Linked DNA regions of Macaca mulatta. The protein of the gene in region 1 interacts with the protein of each later gene in a pairwise test. Links are inferred from orthologs where the notes say so. Each region holds a gene or a part of one and is shown on either strand. Other genes may lie near its edges. The genes, in order: DNAJB11 and UBR1.

Region 1 (3,817 bases):
GCTCTCTGCTTGTTTGTGAATACCTCTCATCCCTGCCTTGCTCCATCTTAATGTTCACATAGTAAATGCATATATAATTTCCAATACCCTTCAGCCAATTTTAGGATATACAAAACTTTTTGTTTACCTGAAGCAGTAGCATTACCGTTTATCCTTTGAATGTCATGGCCAAAAGTTATTATGAGGTAACCTAAGTTTCCTCAAAATTTAGGGTGTTCAGACCTTAATGAATTTTAACTCAGCAATGAAAGAAGATATGTAACTCTAGTTGGCATTAATAAGATGTTCTCAGGACCTCACCTTTAGACTTAAGTTTAAAACTCTAAAAATAAAAAAAAAAAAGCTTTGAGACTTAGGTTCAATAGACTAGTGAATCATTCTTGGTTTAGGAAATGGGTCAAGTTATGTACTGCTGTATCTGAGGCAAAGGTAATGATTTCTAATAATCTGAAACTTGATAGAACCAGGCAGAGACACAGCCGCCACAGATTTGACAGATCAATGCCCAAAGTAGTGGATTAAAAAGAATTATCAGTTGCCAAATAGATGTGTGGTATTCAACTCGTATGATTTACAATATGCTGTAATCTGCTCTGACTAGGTGAGCCTCATGTGGATGGGGAGCCTGGAGATTTACGGTTCCGAATCAAAGTTGTCAAGTAAGTTATCTAATTTTAGAGGTCTTCTCAGATGAGTCAGATTATAGAGGTGTGGGTGGCCACCAGAGCAGTTAGAGACTTTTTTCTCTGTTTCTTACCCTTATTACCCTAAACGATGATTTGTAACTCCTCTACAAGGCTGAAAGCTTGGGGTTGGGCCCTAGGATTGAGCCCCAGTTATTTATTTACTTAGGACTTACAAATGCAAAAGATGTTGAAAGGAAAGAATTGATAAGTAAGGAGTTATAAAAGAGAAACAAACAAGATAGGGAGTCAAAGCTGAGATTTTAGCTGAAGAACTATGGCACCATACAAGAATAGGAGACTTTGCCATAGAAAGAACTTTCTACGTAATATGCAGCTTCTGTGAAGAGAGAGCTTTTCTTTTGTGAGCTTCTCTTCAGCATGAAGTGCTGCTTAGACAATTTTGCCTGGGACTCCGGCTTTCTTGATTAGTATTTCTCTCTTGTTACCGCTTTGGAAACCAGTAATATCTCTGCATCTATAAGGAGTCATCAAAACAGAGTTCCCACCAGAATAGGGAGAAATGGCCGCCCACTGTCTGGGACTTTTCCTTCCTGCACTCTTTATTCTCAGTGTTGTTTTCCCCAGCTTCTTTGCCTACCTTGTCTTTATCATCACTTCTTAGAGAAACTGGAACGTGTGTTGTTTCCTGAATAAACCTGACACCTTCCTTGTCTTTGCCAGAATTCCTTCTCACTCTATTTCCCCTTCCTTCCACCCATTTTATCTGCATTTCTACAGCCAACTTAGTCTTGTGAGCCCAGCTCAGGAAACTTCTGTAGACCCATTTCTGAAGATGATCTCCCCAGAAACTTTCTTTCTCTCTTTTCCATAATCTAATGATTATAGTTTTACTTATACTCTGGCTTTTGCTGATTGTGTGTTCCTTAACAGTAGCATTTAATAAGACTTAAACAACTTTATATTCTCGATTAATACTACACACAAACGTATGTCTAAGAAATGTTTATGGTTTGAAAGAGTGGTGTTCACCTTTTTCCAAGATTTTTCTAACAACTCTTTGAACTTAAAGTGGAAATTAATGATGTTTACCTATTCTGTTTTTAGGCACCCAATATTTGAAAGGAGAGGAGATGATTTGTACACAAATGTGACAATCTCATTAGTTGAGTCGCTGGTTGGCTTTGAGATGGATATTACTCACTTGGATGGTCACAAGGTAAACAAACCAATTTACTTGTTCTCCTTCCTTTTGAAGCCTTTATGTGGGTAGTTTTGAGATGTATCAGCTGTTTCAGTCATTGAGAACCAGAGGGACTCCTTTCTCAGTCGTATTCTTCGTCTGTACTTACTCTGCTGCTGAGCATCCTGCAATAACAGTGCCAGACCTTTCAGCTACTCAGAATGGATTGCACAGCCTTTGACAGTCTTGTCCTTATAGTTTCTATTGATGAAAACCTTTCTTTGTTTACTTGTTTTTGTGTTTGATTTTCTTCTTTAATAAAATCCTTTGTTCTTGACTGACATTGTCCTAATGATATTTCCTTTGCTCCTTCATTCTTTCTTTTTGCTGAGCTGTGACATTAGCTTTGTGTACCAGTGCTCACTAGAAGCTGTATGATGTACTTCAGATGTACCGCTCCTGCTGCAGTGCATTCCCTTTTGTTTCCTAGGTACATATTTCCCGGGATAAGATCACCAGGCCAGGAGCGAAGCTATGGAAGAAAGGGGAAGGGCTCCCCAACTTTGACAACAATAATATCAAGGGCTCTTTGATAATCACTTTTGATGTGGATTTTCCAAAAGAACAGTTAACAGAGGAAGCAAGAGAAGGTATGGCATATGAGTGTGTGTGTGTGTGTGTGTGTGTGTGTGTGTGTGTGTGTGTGTGTGTGATGAGAAAAGGGTGGCAATAGAAGCAGAACTCTCCAGTGACATGAGACATCAAGACATCAATCATTAATGCTAGTAGAACACTAACATAGGAATGAACTCATCTTACTTTGTAAAGGTGATATGTTAAAAATCCTACATCTTTGTGTTACAAAAGTCTGTGTAAGCTGTGCTTCGAAACCTAGGGAGTGATAGAGTATGTGGGAATGAAACAGAATCCCTTAAAACAAATGAGCTGGACCACTCTGTAAAAGGGAAGATGAGGTAGACAATAGAAAGATTAGAAGCTTATGGTTGCATGTCTAGGATGACTGGCTGAGAAGAGGGCCCCACTCGGGGTCCTAAATAGTAAGAGAAAGGAGAGCAATGAAGGAGGTAAAAACTGAAAAGAGGATACAGAAGAAGGAATGGGAGACTTAACTGAAGAGTTTTCTTTCCCTTTTGATTGCCTCTTCTCATTCCTCATTTTGCAGAGCTTTGTGGGACATGTATGTGGTATGTGGGCCTAAAAGAGACAAGGGATCATCCTGGAAACATATGTGCATGTGTGGGATTACCTACATGCGATTATGTTGGAGATTGGTAGTTATTTAATTCACATCCATGTTTGTCATAAGGCCTTTTATGAGCCTTTTCTTGAAATATGCTCTTTAAACACTAGGAAAGTAACATTTTTTTGTTAATGGAGTCATTTGTTCATTCATTCTTCAGGTATCAAACAGCTACTGAAACAAGGGTCAGTGCAGAAGGTATACAATGGACTGCAAGGATATTAACAGTGAATAAAATTGGACTTTGTTTAAAATAAGTGAATCGGCGATATTTATTATCTACAGGGTTTTTTTGTGTGTGTTTTTGTTTTTATTTTCAATATGCAAGTTTGGCTTAATTTTTTTTGTCTAATGATCATCATGAAATGAATAAGAGGGCTTAAGAATTTGTCCATTTGCATTCAGAAAAGAATGACCAGCAAAAGGTTTACTAATACCTCTCCCTTTGGGGATTTAATGTCTGGTGCTGCCGCCTGAGTTTCAAGAATTAAAGCTGCAAGAGGACTCCAGGAGCAAAAGAAACACACATAGAGGGTTGGAGTTGTTAGCAATTTCATTCAAAATGCCAACTGGAGAAGTCTGTTTTTAAATACATTTTGTTGTTATTTTTTTCATGACTCCTGTTTCTTCTGTGAGCTATTTGGGTTGTCCTCCCATCAAGCAAGATGGATGCACAAGCATGCAAAAGAGTGATATAGATCCAGTCCCCATGCCTAATTACATACACGG
Region 2 (4,490 bases), on another chromosome or scaffold:
TAACTGGGCATGGTGGCACATGCCTATATTCCCAGTTACTCAGGAGACTGAGGTAGGAGGATCACCTGAGCCCGAGAGATTGAGGCTGCAGTGAGTTATGTTTGTGCCACTGCACTCCAGCCTGGGTGACAAAGCAAGACCCTATCTCAAAAAAAAAAAAAGATGTTATCCATTCCCACAACCTCAACTGTAAATTTACTGATAACTTCCAAATACCTAGCTAAGTATTACTCAAAGTGTGGCCCATACACCACTATTACAGAATTAGCATGGCATGCTTGTGAAAATGCAGATTCTTGGACCTCACCTCAGACCTACAGTATTAGTTCCCCTGGTGATTCTTAAGCAATGGCTTTTATCAATGTCCACTAATTCATACATATTATTTTATTTGAATTGCATGTGAGATAATGTTAGGAATACTACAGCCTTCATGCTTACTATCAGCAACATGAATGAAAAAGGATCTGCAGACTAAGAAGAAAATTTAAGGAAATCAGAGACTATAACCAGGGATTAGACTCTAATGGAAATTGTACAATTGCTTAAACCTCTATGAATGTCCCGTACTATTTATCTTTGTCTAAAGATAAACAATAAGGAGTAGGGGGGAACAACTGAGCTTGTATTGCTTAAGAGCAAAGTAGTAAACTGGGAAGCCAGTGTCACACTATGGCTAGAATAAAATTGAAAACAGTAGTATTTTTAAAAAGAGAAAAAGAGAAAGAGAGAGAGGTAGAATGATCTGTAGGGTCTTCAGTAGAGAGAGAGATGCAAGCCATAAAAGGGGTTATAAAGCTTAACAGTCACAGGTCCTCATCTACTGACATTACTCTACCTTGAATTAAAATTATCTGGGCACTTATATTACCTGTGTCACCAGACTGTGAGTTCCCTGAGGCTATATTACACAATCTACCTACTACTTTGCAAAACCTAAAGTCCTGCCCAACAAAATCTAATAATATTTCCTGAGGTAAAGAGTTGCCACATAAATTCTAGCTCAATTCCTGTATCATCTCCAATTCCAAATTAGTGGCGGCCAGAATGATGGGGTTTTACTGTATCATTTGGAAAAAATTAATGTATCAAAGTTTTAAATAAATATTAGTCTTCAGATACAAAATTCTAACAATCCTTCTGACCACAGCACAGTTTCCCCACTCCTTCTAACAAGCAAAACTCACAAACTACCATTAAAATGTTTCAGCTGCTTTTATATTTGTCCTACCTCCTCATTCCTTATCATCACAAATAAGATGCTTTCTCCTTCACTACCAGTAGTGAAGTGAATTTGAACTGCTATTTGGGGTGGAGGAAAACAGCAAGCACTGACATAGTCAGAAGCCAAACCCTTTTCCAACTCCCTCCCTACCTGGTTCCTACCTCCTAGCCAGTCTCTTCAGTCCCTGAAGTAGCTCCCTCTGTTTTTGCATAAAACAATGTTCAATTGTATGCAGGGTTAAAAAACAAACAAACAAAAAAACCTTCAAGAATGCTTTTAATCTGTAATCCCAGCACTCTGGGAGGCCGGGGCAGGTGGACCACCTGAGGTCAGCCTGGCCAATATGGTGAAACCCTGTCTCTACTAAAAACACCAAAAAAAAAAAAAAAAAAAAAATTAGCCAGGCATGGTGGCAGGCGCCTGTAATCCCAGCTACTCAGGAGGCTGAGGCAGGAGAATTCCTGAACCTGGGAGGCAGAGGCTGCAGGGAGGCAGAGGCTGCAGCGAGCCGAGATTGTGCCACTGCACTCCAGCGTGAACGACAGAGTGAGACTCTGTCTCAAAAAATAAAATAAATAAAATAAAACAAAATAAAGCTTTTATTAAACTACAAACCAAAGAAACTTCAGAAAAAATGGTGTATATCCCAAACCTCTAAATGCTGCTATTTGGAAACACAAAACTAATAAAACATTATGCAGCGACAGATACTTGAATATTTTCTACATATCTCCCCACTAGATACCCTGGGCATCCAGAACATTCCCTAACATTGCCCTCTACTCTTATCTTCCACCGTCAGCTTTCTCCCTGTAGCTAGTGACTCAAATTTGTTCAATATCTCTGCCTTCCCATTCTTCCAAAATGCAAGAGCAAAGTATAGATTCCAACATTAATTAATGGTATTGCTCGGGCTTGAAATGTTTGGGAGTTCTTTCTTCAGCTTTAAAAAGTAGCGACAGATGATGGGCTTCTCCACTGAGGGTTAGGCCTGGGGTTCTTAAGATGCTATATCGAAGGCCAATTACTACACCTCACATCTAGACATGACAGTGGCAGCACTCTCTATCATTATCAGGTCCCGGCCAGCAGGCTATGCAATACAATACCAGGTGCTGCATTCCCATCATCAAGAGTAAAGGGTTGGTACTGCTTCTATACGAAAATGGCTCTTGCTCCAACCCCGCCTAGGCCCCCACATCAAACCGTCTAATAACATCACTGGTTCTTTCTACTTCAGAATAGAGACATGCATGCTTGAGATCATCAGAAATAATACATAACAAAGTCATTATATTCCGTACACTTGGCTGGCAGAAATGTGGGTCGCGACTAACTTTTTATTCAGTGGCTTCCTTCCAGATCAATCCAGGTAACTCCCCCTCCCCAGAGCCGCCATAAGGGGTGAAGCCCCACATCCTCCTAAGCGCAGCAGGGAGGGACTGGGGGGAGGACAAAAGAGACTTGCCTATAGGGACTTACACATGCCAGACGCTGAGGGGTCTGGGGTAACTCCGCGCTGATTTCCATCCTCTCCGCACCTCCAGCTTCCTCGTCCGCCATCTTGAGGGAAACTGACTCCTGCAGTTGCCGACCCCCGGCCAGAGGCAAGCGGAAACCTGTGGCCGGTCGGAGACACAGGGACGACACTTTTACGACGGCCCCTGAAGTCGGGTTTGACGCAGAACTGAGGAGCGGCTTCCGGCCCGCTTCCCGGAAGCAAGCGTCACGACGTGAAGGGACTGGAGAATTTTTTTTTTTCCCCTGTAATGTATTAGGCGTAGCGCTTGGTAGCTGAGTGGTTGTATATCTGGATTTGGTGCTGGGAACTTGCATCTACGAGGTTAAAAACAAAAAAAAAAAAGCCAAAGTTAGCGTCCATTACGAAAGGAAGAAAACTCGTCAGGGGCTAAAGCAAGAACCTGTCCTAGCTGGCCGGTTGTTGGCCTGAGGGTGTTTTGTATCCCAGCCTCCCTGCAGTAGTTCCCCAGAGCCTATAAAATGAAAAAGAAAGTACTCACACATCTTCCATTTTTAGGGTTCTACCCCGTGGGCACTTGCACATGTGTACAAAAAAGCTGGGGATCCAGCTTTATTGGGGAGCACGGGGGGGGAATAATTTGGAAACCTAGTCATTCATCGATAGATGAAAGACAAGATAGACTATGGTACATTCGCATTTTGAAATACTGTGCAGCTCTTGAGCAAGATAAATCTGCGTGAAAAGATCAACATAAATTAAGTGAGAGGGAAAAAAGCCAAGTTGCCGCAAACTATGTATTTGCACACATGGGCATTTAAATCTGAAGGAATAAGTCTGAAAGGGGAAAGGGCAAAGTGGTAACTCTGAGGGCCAGGATTCGGATTGGAGGAAGAAGGTGGTCAAGAGCTACTTTACCTTCATCAGTATTTTAAATTGTTTACAAAACAAATAATTTTAAAGTGTATATTTTTAACAAAGGGAAGAAAATAAAGCTCCAAACAATGTGAAAAGCAGAGGAGGCTTTCCAAATGCTGTGGTCCACCTTGATTAGTAGAACTTTCCTGCCTAAACAATGTTTCTGCTCAAATGAACTACCGTCTGGGTGCTAAAGTACTGTTTTTCCAGCCTTTTTTGCCCAACAACCACAATAAATACATTTTACATCTTATCACTGTACCTATACAAAAGTATATGGGTATATATAGAATATGTATATATACGCTGAAACTAAAGTTTCCTGAAACCATGCTTGCGATATGTCATATTTTCTATTCAACTGCAATATGTTTATGCATTTAAGCCAAAATACTGGTTGTAGTTGTTAAAGTGATATTATAATCCACAATAGATATTGTCCCACATTTTGATAAAAATTGCCCAAAAAGTTACCTTGTTCCTTCCTGTCTCTATGCCTTTACTCCTGGAGTTCTCTTGTGCTACCCCACTCTCTTTTCTTCTTCTTTCATTCCTAGATAAATGAAATAGACTAGAAAGTTCAGAAATAGGTCTGGGGCGGTGGCTCACGCCTGTAATCTCCCAGCACTTTGGGAGGCCAAGGTGAGTGGATCACCTGAGGTCAGGAGTTCGAGACCAGCCTGGACAACACAGTGAAACCCCATGTCTACTAAAAATACAAAAATTAGCTGGGTGTGGTGGTGGGTGTCTGTAATCCCAGCTACTCAGGAGGCTGAGGCTGGAAAATTGCTTGAACCTGGAAAGTGGAGTTTGCAGTAAGCCAAGATGGTGCCACTGCTCTCCAGCTCTCCAGCCTGGGCTACAAGA

Evidence for each region.
Region 2: the proteins of DNAJB11 (region 1) and UBR1 interact in a two-hybrid assay, tested with the Homo sapiens proteins (2 studies listed by BioGRID and IntAct). The link is inferred for Macaca mulatta from reciprocal best matches to the Homo sapiens genes DNAJB11 and UBR1.

What each region holds. Positions count from the first base shown.
Region 1 is NC_133407.1:98,756,856-98,760,672, forward strand, and holds the end of DNAJB11 (dnaJ homolog subfamily B member 11), read left to right. Parts: intron 1-601; coding exon 602-659; intron 660-1,751; coding exon 1,752-1,863; intron 1,864-2,317; coding exon 2,318-2,477; intron 2,478-3,248; coding exon 3,249-3,313; 3' UTR 3,314-3,342; downstream 3,343-3,817. UniProt on the Homo sapiens protein: As a co-chaperone for HSPA5 it is required for proper folding, trafficking or degradation of proteins.
Region 2 is NC_133412.1:20,504,803-20,509,292, forward strand, and holds the start of UBR1 (E3 ubiquitin-protein ligase UBR1), read right to left. Parts: upstream 2,880-4,490; 5' UTR 2,789-2,879; coding exon 2,708-2,788; intron 1-2,707. UniProt on the Homo sapiens protein: E3 ubiquitin-protein ligase which is a component of the N-end rule pathway. Recognizes and binds proteins bearing specific N-terminal residues that are destabilizing according to the N-end rule, leading to their ubiquitination and subsequent degradation.